Linked DNA regions of Macaca mulatta. The protein of the gene in region 3 interacts with the protein of the main gene of each other region in a pairwise test. Links are inferred from orthologs where the notes say so. Each region holds a gene or a part of one and is shown on either strand. Other genes may lie near its edges. The genes, in order: RFWD3, RNF25 and UBE2D4.

Evidence for each region.
Region 1: the proteins of UBE2D4 (region 3) and RFWD3 interact in a two-hybrid assay, tested with the Homo sapiens proteins (2 studies listed by BioGRID and IntAct). The link is inferred for Macaca mulatta from reciprocal best matches to the Homo sapiens genes UBE2D4 and RFWD3.
Region 2: the proteins of UBE2D4 (region 3) and RNF25 interact in binary tests that used the Homo sapiens proteins (3 or more experiments, as listed by UniProt). The link is inferred for Macaca mulatta from reciprocal best matches to the Homo sapiens genes UBE2D4 and RNF25.

The regions. Positions count from the first base shown.
Region 1 is NC_133425.1:69,948,406-69,952,054, forward strand, and holds part of RFWD3 (E3 ubiquitin-protein ligase RFWD3), read right to left. Parts: intron 3,487-3,649; coding exon 3,372-3,486; intron 2,129-3,371; coding exon 1,897-2,128; intron 1-1,896. UniProt on the Homo sapiens protein: E3 ubiquitin-protein ligase required for the repair of DNA interstrand cross-links (ICL) in response to DNA damage. Plays a key role in RPA-mediated DNA damage signaling and repair.
Region 2 is NC_133417.1:123,911,567-123,915,315, reverse strand, and holds the start of RNF25 (E3 ubiquitin-protein ligase RNF25), read left to right. Parts: upstream 1-1,550; 5' UTR 1,551-1,582; coding exon 1,583-1,623; intron 1,624-3,749. Other genes in the region: STK36 (serine/threonine-protein kinase 36), read right to left, coding at 639-722. UniProt on the Homo sapiens protein: E3 ubiquitin-protein ligase that plays a key role in the RNF14-RNF25 translation quality control pathway, a pathway that takes place when a ribosome has stalled during translation, and which promotes ubiquitination and degradation of translation factors on stalled ribosomes.
Region 3 is NC_133408.1:84,434,978-84,438,726, forward strand, and holds the start of UBE2D4 (ubiquitin-conjugating enzyme E2 D4), read right to left. Parts: upstream 2,345-3,749; 5' UTR 2,328-2,344; coding exon 2,286-2,327; intron 2,272-2,285; exon of another isoform or gene 1,872-2,271; coding exon of another isoform or gene 1,848-1,871; exon of another isoform or gene 1,678-1,847; intron 1-1,677. UniProt on the Homo sapiens protein: Accepts ubiquitin from the E1 complex and catalyzes its covalent attachment to other proteins. In vitro able to promote polyubiquitination using all 7 ubiquitin Lys residues, but may prefer 'Lys-11' and 'Lys-48'-linked polyubiquitination.

The DNA.
Region 1 (3,649 bases), on a different chromosome or scaffold from region 3:
GACAGCCAGAGAGGGGGAAAAAAAAAAGCAAGGGGTGGGGGTGTGTGCAGGTGCAGGTATAGGCTTTAAATCAACAAGGTCGCTGGGCATGGTGGCTCATGCCTATAATCCCAGTACTCTGAGAGCCCAAGATGGGTGGATCACCTGAGGTCAGGAGTTTGAGACCAGCCTGACCAAAATGTTAAAACCCTCAAATACAAAAATTAACTAGGCATGGTGGCATGCACCTGTAGTCTCAGCTACTCAGGAGGCTGAGGCAGGAGAATCTCTTGAACCCAGGAGGCAGAGGTTCCAGTGAGCTGAGATCACACCACTGAACTCCAGCCTGCGCAACAGAGCGAGACTCCATCTCAAAAAGAAAAGAAAAGGAAAAAAAAAGAAAAAAAAAAATCAACAAGGTAACAGAAATACACACCAAGTTAATCATTAAGGGGAACAAGGACAAATCAGCACCAGCACACTATCAAGCGGACTGGAATGGACACGTTAAGAAAAAAAGAACAGGGCCGGGTGCGGTGGCTCAAGCCTGTAATCCCAGCACTTTGGGAGGCCGAGACGGGCGGATCACGAGGTCAGGAGATCGAGACCATCCTGGCTAATACGGTGAAACCCCGTCTCTACTAAAAATACAAAAAAAAAAAAAAACTAGCCGGGCGAGGTGGCGGGCGCCTGTGGTCCCAGCTACTCAGGAGGCTGAGGCAGGAGAATGGCGGGAACCCGGGAGGCGGAGCTTGCAGTGAGCTGAGGTCCGGCCACTGCACTCCAACCCGGGCGACAGAGCGAGACTCCGTCTCAAAAAAAAAAAGAAAAAAAAAAAAAAAAGAAAAAAAGAACAGAACACATTCCCAATTTGGGGAACATTAGAAAATAGTTATTTTTCCAATTTGTTGGTTCTATTTGATGACAAATCTTTTTATTAAAAACTTAGATGGGATAAAGGACCATTATAAAACCATGTTAAAGCAAAGGAGTCTTCCAGTTGGCAGAAATCTTATGCTAAAGACAGCAGAAAGAAACATCTGCAAGATTTAGAAATGATTTAATTGAGCATTTGAAAAGACTTGGATTTCAACATTTAGAAAACCTAAAATAAAGCTTAAAAAGCACAAAATATGTTTGTTTTTTTTTTTTTTTTTTGAGACGGAGTCTTGCTCTGTCTCCCAGGCTGGAGTGCAGTGGCCCGATCTCAGCTCACTGCAAGCTCCGCCTCCCGGGTCCACGCCATTCTCCTGCCTCAGCCTCCCAAGTAGCTGGGACTACAGGCGCCCGCCACCTCACCCGGCTAGTTTTTTTTGTATTTTCTAGTAGAGACGGGGTTTCACCGTGTTAGCCAGGATGGTCTCGATCTCCTGACCTCATGATCCACCCGTCTCGGCCTCCCAAAGTGCTGGGATTACAGGCTTGAGCCACCGCGCCCGGCCAAAAAGCACAAAATATGTTGAGAGAAAATTAATCTAGCATTAATAGTCAGTGTACTCCTTAAACTCTCTTATTTGGAAATTGTTAACTTGAACACTACTGAAAATAAGTGTTAAATTTTGTTTCACCTTGAACTACCCCTAGGGTAGTGTTCTGTCAAACATTTCCAGTCTAAAAAGAATCTGTAAGTTGAACAGGACTTCTTGGACTCTATCAGTAACCTACACTTCCAAGGACCTCACCATCTGCTTTGTCATGGTTATCAGTATTTCTACCCTCTTGGTTAATAAATTTACAGAATGAAGTTAATAGACAGTAAAGACATCTTTGCTGCACCCTGGGGTACTTGCATTAACAAGGAACTGAGAGGGAAAGGTGATTTGGTGAGCCTTGAGTCTTGAATTTTCCAAAAGAGCAAGGAAATAAACACATGGAGTCTAATAAAGAACATGAAAGCTGAGGTTCTAGACTCTTTACCTGGAAGAAAAGAGGCCTGAGGAGAAGGCTGTGATATCACCAGGCAGCTCAGAGCATCACAGTATGCCATGATCCGGCAGTTTCCTGCCTGAGATACTGTGAAGGTCTTTTGGAAGTGGTACTTGTGCTTGTGCTGGTCCTGGCTGGAGGGTGAGCAGCTCAGGACCCATGCTTGGGAGCCCCTGGGTTGCTGTAAATTCTGATTTTGATGTGACATAAGCTTTTGCAAGTCCTAAAATGAAAAAGATTTTATAAATACAAAGCTTTTTAATTTGATATTCCCCTCAAACACAATTCCTTGATCTTATATAGAAGATTTCTTATCCATTACATGAAAATGTTAACATAAATTCTAGAGAACTGCCGAGTTTTTTTTTTTTTTGAGATGGAGTCTTACTCTGTCACCCAGGAGTGCAGTGGGACCATGTTGGCTCATTGCAACCTCCATCTCCTGGGTTCAGGCCCTTCTGCCTCAGCCTCCTGAGTAGCTGGGATTACAGGTGCCCACTACCATACCCAGCCAATTTTTAAATATTTTTAGTAGAGATGGGGTTTCACCATGTTGGCCAGACTGGTCTTGAACTCCTGACCTCAGGTGATCCATCCGCCTTGGCCTCCCAAAGTGCTGGGATTATAGGCGTAAGCCACCACACCTGGCCAGAACTGCTGATTTTTTACAGTATGTCAACAAGTGAAAAAAGGAGAGCACAGAATCATAATATGAGGGTTGAAAGTCCTTAATGATGGTTTTGTTTAAAGCCATTTAAAAAAAAAAAAAAAAGCAGACAGGGTCTCACTCCGTCATCCATGGCATCCAGGCTGGAGTGCAGTAGTGCGATCACAGCTCACTGTAACCTTCAAACTCCTGGTAAAGCCCTCATTTTATTGGTAGATTTACTTAAACAAGTTTGGAATTCTTGGTTAGCTATTTAATTTTTTCTAAAATTCAGACTGTAAGGCCAGGTGCAGTGCTTACGCCTGTAATCCCAGCACTTTGGGAAGCCAAGGCGGGTGGATCACCTGAGGTCAGGAGTTCGAGACTAGCCCGGCCAACATAGTGAAACCCTGTCACTACTAAAAGTACAAAAATTAAGTGGGCATGGTGGTGGGCACCTGTAATCCCAGCTCCTTGAAATGCTGAGACTGAGGCAGGAGAACCGCTTGAACCCAGGAGGCAGAGGTTGCAGTGAGCCAAGATCACATCACTGCACTCCAGCCTAGATGACAGAGTAAGACTCTATCTCAAAAAAATAAAAAAATAAAAATAAAATTCAGACTATAGTAGATTTCATTATAAAGTGTGTAGTAAGTTTTGAACAGATGCCCTAATCAGAAATAAAATAAGCAGTTGGTCATGTTTATTTCCTAAATAACTTGGCAAATCCTATTTATTTCTGAGATGAACATAAGTAGCATTTAGATTCCTCTTCCATTCCTATTCCAAAAGTTATTTGGGTTAGAAAGGATAAACATACCTGAACACGACTTTGAAGCCTAGTGCACTCATCAGTGAGGACCTGCAGTTGGAGTCGGCACTGTGCTGATTCTAACTCGGCCTGCTTCCTTAGCATCTGTTCCTTCAGTAGGGAACTAGGGGGGGGAAGCCAGCAACAACTGGGGATTAGGAAGGCTACAGAAGACTTCCCATCAAGATGGCAGAATAAAGTTCATGCTATGATGCATATTCTTTGCTGTAAATATGTTATGATAGTGAATAAAACATAAAAAGAGAAAAATCTCTCCAGAGACAGAT
Region 2 (3,749 bases), on a different chromosome or scaffold from region 3:
TCCAGAAGTCAGACTTTAGAGTGTTTGAGTAACTCTTATTATTTCTGTCAGTCTCCTGCTTCCATTTTCTCCATGGTACCCTGGCCTTATCCAGGCTTTCCCCACTCCTCATCCCAGGAGGAAACAGCATGGGCAAAACATCTCACCTTCTAGGAGAAGTGTTCTGATTTGACCAAAGCAGTCAAGATGAGATTTAGGGGAAAGGAAAGGAAAAAAAATTAAGAGGAAATAATAGAGTTCAAGTGGTTTACCTCTTACTACATGGTGTGCTAGAGACTAATAATAATAATATTTGTTGTTTACTAAGAGCCAGGCACTGTACTAACTGATTTAATGTGACAACATACTTAATCTCAAATGCCATCAATCAGTTGCTGTTCTTATCCCCATTCTAGAGATGAGGAAATTGAGACATAGAGAAGTTAAGTAATTTGTCCATAATTCTAGGGTTAGAAAGCGGTGGAGATGGAACTTATACCCAAATAATACAACTTCAGAGCTTATACTCCATAAGAAGTATGAGAGAGTCAATGCCTTAGGAATATAAACTGGTATACATACATCCCTTCTAGACCCATTTTCCACTGGAGTTGGGGGTACCAAATCCCACCCAAAAGGTATCCCTCTTTGTACAATACCTGAGCACTGTATTTTCTTCGACCCTTGTACACCCTCCCAAAAGAGCCTTCTCCAATCATCTCCAACACGTGGTACTTTTCCATGACAGAGGTTTCAGAATCTCTTAGAAGGAAAAAGGTAGAGACGGTGAAGAGCTATAGATCCAGGGACAATTCCACAACATCTGGGAGGCCTAGTTGGGGCATGGGAAAGGAAAAATGTTAGCCATCTTGCCTTTTCTCTTTTTCACAAAGACCAAGCCTCAAAAAACATGGGAGGGTAGAATGATGCAAAGATGATGCGATCTTGGAACAAACACAGCATCTCTTTGTAGTTCCTCTCCACTTTCAGCCTCCTGTCCCCAACCCGGCCCCATGCCCACCTGACACCTGGTCCCCCTTCTCCCTCATCCAGCTTGGCCCACTCGACCCTGCTCTCTTAACCTAGCATCGCCCACCCAACCCTGCTCCTTCGAGTCTCCCCCAAGTTCCTGCCACTCCCAGATTCCTCAGCACCTGCTCTCAGACCCCCTGGCCCATGCGCTTCGCAAGCCAGGGTCCCTCTCTCATCCCCAGCCTAGGAGATCCAAGCTCCTCGGGCCCAGGGACGGATTCCCTGGCCTTTAGCCCCATATCTTCTGGCTGCCTGCATACGTTGCCTGACTTACAATTCTTCTCCACCCGCCCCTCTCGCCAGTCTCTTTTGGCTCCCTTTCTAACAATTTCACTCGCTAGAACTGGTGAGAAGTTCAGAGGACAAAGGCGCTCAGAGGTGTGGGAGGGACGGCGGACCACACATGGGCACTTCCTGGGACGCATCCGAACTGCCTCTGGGCCATCAGGCCCGGCTAAGGACCCGGAGTCTGCGGTTGCCTAGAAACGACGCTAGCTGCCCACCCCTCTTAGTTTTCCGCCTCCGACTTCCCTAAGGGCATTTCCGGTTCCGGCTGCGGGCCGGTGAAGACATGGCGGCGTCTGCGTCTGCAGCTACAGGGGAGGAGGACTGGTAACTTCGGGGGCATGGGCTTTGGCTGACAGTCTGGGTCTAGTCCAGAGGCCTAGCAGCTGTCGCAGACGGTCCGTACGGCGGGCGTGTGGGGTGGAGCGAAGGATGAGGGATGGCAGAGATGCTGACATCTCCTCTGGGAGATCTTCTAGACTGGGGAACGGGAGGGTGGAGGGGCGCTGATCTGAGTGAGAAGAGACCGGGTCTGCGCCCGCCAGACCAGTTCAGGCCTCGCCTTATCCGGTTCGATCCCCTTTCCTCCAGCTTCACGCTATCCCTTTCTATGCTCCTCAAATGAATTTTCTCAGGGGCTTTGGGGGATGCCTGCCCGTCAGACCTCCCCATCTCCCTTTCGCCTCTCAGAACTAGTGCCCTCCAGTTCGGTACCCCTTTCTCCTTGGATCAGCGTTTTTCCGCCGACGCTTTCCTCAACCTTCTCTCTCCCACACAGCACTAGTGAGGACTATTGTCTGAATAAAGCTTTACACCTCACATAAAGTCCCTCTAGTCCTTCTCTCAAGCATTCTTAACTAAAGACTAGAACATGGAAGGACTCTGGGATTTGGAAGTAGGATCAATGTGGGTTAACTCCGCATTTTATTAGCTGTGTGATGCTGACCAGGCCATCTAGCTTCTGTGAGTCAGTGTCCTCAGCTGTAAAAACAAAGTGGGTGTGGTATTTACCTCAGAATAGTTGAGAGGATCACGATGGATTTGTAATATACTTAAGTCTGTTTTTTTGTTTTGTTTTGTTTTGTTTTGTTTTTTGAGACAGAGTCTCACTGTCACCCACGCTGGAGTGCGGTGGTGCGATTATGGCTCACTGCAGCCTCAACCTCCCCAGGCTCAGGTGATCCTCCTGCCTCAGCCTTCCAAGTAGCTGAGGCTACAGGTCTGTGCCACCATGCCCAGCTAATTTTGTATTTTTTGTAGAGACAGAGTTTTGCCATGTTGGCCAGGCTGGTCTTGAACCCCTGGGTTCAAGTGATCCTCCCACCTCAGCCTCCCAAGGTGCTGGAATTACAGGCGTGAGCCACCACACCCGGCCTCCTTTTCATTAATAACTGAGGTGCAGGCACCTGGGAAGATTAGATGAGCCCCAAAGAAGTAAAGTGATTTGCCAAAAGGTGGAAAATTGCGACTAGAAATCCACATCTATCTGACTCCACACCTTAGATTCTTTATACTAGGACATTCTTCAGTCCCCTCTCCCCCATTTTGTTGTCACCACCTTACCAGCATCCCATCCAGGACCCACATAACTAGGGTAGGCAAAGTATTGAAGGGCCACTTGACTGAGGCTACACCTCAGTGTTACATTGGTTCAGGGAGCCCTGCTAGTACTGGCCTTTATTAAGACTATCTAGACTACTGGTTTTCAAAGTGTTCAGGGAAACTTTTTCTTTTCTTTTTTTAAGAGACGGAGTCTTACTTTGTCACCCAGGCTGGAGTACAGTGGCAAGATCATGGCTCATTACAGACTCAACCTTCTGGGCTCCAGCGATTCTTCTGCCTCAGCCTCCCAAGTAGCTGGGACCACTGTGTCCAGCTAATTTTTTATTTTCTGTAGAGATAGTCTCGCTTTGTTGCCCAGGCTGGTCTCGAACTCCTGGCCTCAAGTGATCCTCCCACCTCAGCCTCCCAAAGTGCTGGGATAACTTATAGTTGACCTGTTCAGGGGAACTTTTAAGATTCAGGGGAAACACCTTGAGCCATGGAGAGAACAACAGTGAGTGCAGCAGCCTGTAGTGCTGTGAGACTCCCATCCCATGTCAGCCAAAACTACACTATTTTCTGTGAGGTGTAAAGCTTTGTATTTTATATTTTGAAGTTTCTGCCTAAGACTTAACAACAACTGACATAAGTCATGCTGGAGCAGCCTTACTCTTAGAATGAAGAGAGAGCAGTATGAGAAAGGAAAGTATGCATTTTTCCATGTATCACCTGGTAGAGCTGTAGACACAAACTGATCACTCAGCTTCAATTTCAATACAACTACTGTTTCTATGCTTATGCATGTGTGTCCTCTGATTTACATCGGAACATGGATGCTAACCTCAACAGGCTGATCTAGATCAACCAGACAGCCAGGGTCATAAATACATCCAGAGTACTCTACTACCTCC
Region 3 (3,749 bases):
ATCAAACCCAGTAATGTGAATTAAGGAAAAGGCTCACTGTACAATGATGGTTGATCTGGTTTGGATATTTGTCCCCTCCAAATCTCATGCTGAAATGTGATCGCCAGTGTTGGAGGCGGGGCCTGGTGGGAGGTGTCTGGGTCATGGGGGCAGATTCCTCATGAATGGCTTGGTAGCCCCCCAACAATAATCTGTGAGTGCTCACTCTATTAGTTCATGCGAGATCTGGGTGTTTAAAAGAGCTGGCATCTCTCTCGCTCCCTTTCTTACCAGGTGACACGCCTGCTTCTCCTTTGCTTTCCGCCATGATTGTAAGCTTCCTGAGGCCTCACTAGAAGCAGATGCTGGCACTATGCTTCTTGTACAGCCTGCAGAACTGAGAGCCAAATAAACCTCTTTTCTTTATTAATTACTCAGCCTCAGATATTCCTTTATAGCAAACAAAACAGCCTAATACAAAGTTCATAACAGCAAATAGTGAAGAATTTTGAACAACAGCAGCTAACTCATATTGAGTGCTTGGTATACAGCAAGCATGTGCTAAACACATTTCATAGCATTTAATTCTCGAAACAACTCTGTAAACATGTAGGACTGGGAGGCTAGGAATGATTAAGTGCCTTACCCAAGGTCCCACTATAAGTGACCTCACATTCTCTAACCCAGGTCTGACACCCAAGTTCATACTTTTACCTACTACAGTTTTACCTACTACAGGTAATGACTAAATAAGTCACTAGTCATGTACTTGTGGAAAGTTAATGTTAAAAATTAGTTACAGAACTGGACATGGTGTCTCACGTTGTAATCCCACCACTTTAGGAGGTGGAGGCAAGAGGATCGCTTAAGCCCAGGAGTATGAGACCAGCCTGGGCAACATAGTGAGACACTGTCTCTACAAAAAATAAACAATTGGCTGGGCATGGTGGCATGTAGTCCCCGCTACCCAGGAAGCTTAGGAGGGAGGATCACTTGAACCCGGACGGTTGAGGCTGCAGTGAGCCATGATTGTGCCACTGTACTCCAGCCTGGGCGACAGAGCAAGACTGTCTCAAAAAAAAAAAAAAGTTATAAATACTACTTCACAACATGCTTACATTTACTATTATGTGAATAAGTGGAATACAAAATGCAGGATAATTGTTTTAAATATAGAAAAAACTGAACATAGGTATGCTAAAATGTTAACAAATAGTAAAGTGATAGGATTAGAAATACTTCTTTCTTCTACTGTTGTGCATTTTCCAAATCCTAGTGAATGCATTAAACCTTCATGGACTCCCTCTTACCTACAGGATAAAAATCAGTTATTTCAGCACTGCCCCTAAGGACCACCCGAGTCCACACCATCTGCCCTTCAGCTTCTCCCCTATCCTGTCAGTCCTCCAGGCCTCGTGGTCTCCCCATTGCCGGGAAAGCCTTTTTCCCTCTTCCCCACCTGCCGAGTTCCTACTCATCGCTTAGGACCCAGCTTCATCCTGGATACCCTTCTGGATACCCTTCTGGATACCCATCCAGCCCTTCTGGATACCCTAGAGGAGCAAGCTTGCCTTACTCCGGGGACCCAGCAACCCGCTGTCCAGGAGCCTGCAGGTGGCCCCACGGCGCCCCGCCAGCGTGACGCAGCCCACGTGGTCACGGCCCGGCCCCGCCCCGCGCTCGCGCAATCCCCTTCTCAGGCTGCGTTAGCTTTTCAGGCTGCGCGGGTGGCTGTTCGGCCACCTTCCTAGGCAGGTGTATCCGCGACTTGCGGAGCCTTTGTCACCTTTCACTTCACGGCAGCGGCGCCCCGCCCACACCTCGACGCTTCGGACACCCAAAGAGTCGGAGGGTGGGAAAGTGCGTACCTTCTGGATCCGCTTTAGCGCCATCCTACCCCGCTGCCGGGGACCCGGGCGGCCCGGCCAGGGCTGCCTGAGGCGGCCCGCTGCCGGGTCAGCCGCCACCGAGCTGCACGCCGGGAGCCGCCGCCTGCGCTTGCGCGCGCGGGGAACTGTGGGGCCGTCGTCGCCGCGTGCAGAGCGTCCTGGCGCGGCCGAGGGGAAGCCGCGGGGCTGCCCCGGTTACGCTGGCCACCCGCACCCGGTCCTGTGGCTTCGACCACTGGTCAGCAAGGCCCCGGAGAGGCCAGCGAAGAGGAGGGGCTCGTTGGCTTTACCAGACGCGCGGAGCACCCTCAAGGTGCCAAACGCTCGCTTGCTCCCTGTTCCTACATCCTGGGCGTCTTCTCAGGCTGTCATATAACTCCTGAGAATAGTGGTTCTTAACTCTGTAAGTATACATACCCTTGTACGCCTTATGGCTGGATGCGTTACAGCCATTTCCATGTAGATGTCTGTGCATATGTGCACACGCACAACTCTCCGCAGTTTTGGAGATCTCCGTGTTCAGTCGTACCTCACGTGATCTTGCACTGCCAATGTTGAGAACCAATGCCTTAGACTATGCATCACCCAAACTTAATTAGCTGTCTCCTTCCTGTTTTCCTAAGACTTGGCAGGCGTGTAGGTCAGAGTTGTTTAAACTGAGGGTTATGAACTATTTAGTGTGTCACGAAATCAATTTAATAGGTTGCAACCAACATTTGAAAAAAAAAAAGCCAGACGAAGTGGCTCACGCCTACAATCCCAGCACTTTGGGAGGCTGAGGCAGGCGGATCACTTGAGGTCAGGAGTTCGAGACCAGCCTGGCCAACATGGTGAAACCCCGTCTGTACTAAAAATACAGAAATTAGCTGGGCATAGTAACGTATGCCTGTAATCCTAGCTACTTGAGAGGCTACTTGAGAATCACTTGAACGCAGGAGGCAGAGGTTGCAGTGAGCTGAGATCGCGCCACTGCACTCCAGCCTGGGCAACAGAGTGAGACTGTGTCTCAAAAATAATAAAAAATAAAAATAAAAAAGAGAAAAAAATGTCAGTGCCTTTCACACAGTGAAGGTAAGAATTGTGGATGTTTTGTTGCTGTGTATATGTAGATGATATTTAATCTTCAGACTGAGACATGTTTGAGCATGAAAGTGGCTCTTAATATAATTACTCTGGGACCAAAGCCATAATTTAGGATTGTCTCCAGCCAGCCAGGACACATGGTCACCTCTATGTTTGTACTTAGGAAACAAAATGTATTATAGACATTTCAATGGTTGCCCAGCTTTGTCCCTGGCTTTCATGCTCCTATTCCCCCAATCTGTCCTCCACACAACTTCATAAACTGTCTGAAATATAAAGCTTACCACACTGCATCCTTACCCAGAACTCTTCAAGGAAGCCCAGTGGCCTATAGCATCACATTCACTGTCATTCAGGGGCCTTCAAAATCCAGGATCTTCAGCCAGGCACAGTGACTCACGCCTGTAATCCCAGCACTTTGGGAGATTGAGGTGGGTGGATCCCTTAGTCCAGGAGTTCTAGACCATCCCTGGGCAACATGGTGAAACCCCGTCTCTACAAAAAATACAAAACTTAGCTGGGCATGGTGGTGTGCGCCTGTAGTCCCAGCTACTTGGGAGGCTGAGGTGGGAGGATCACTTGAGCCCGAGAGATCAAGGCTGCAGTGAGTTGTGATGGCACCACTGCACTCCAGGCTGGGAGACAGAGCAAGACCCAGTCTCAAAAAAACAAAAACTCAAAACAAAATCAAGTATCCTCCAGCTTTACCTTCTCCTTCCTACCTCCAGCCCACCTGACTATCAAGTGTTTCCATCACCACAGCATCTACATTCCTTGACTAGAGCATTCACTTTCCAA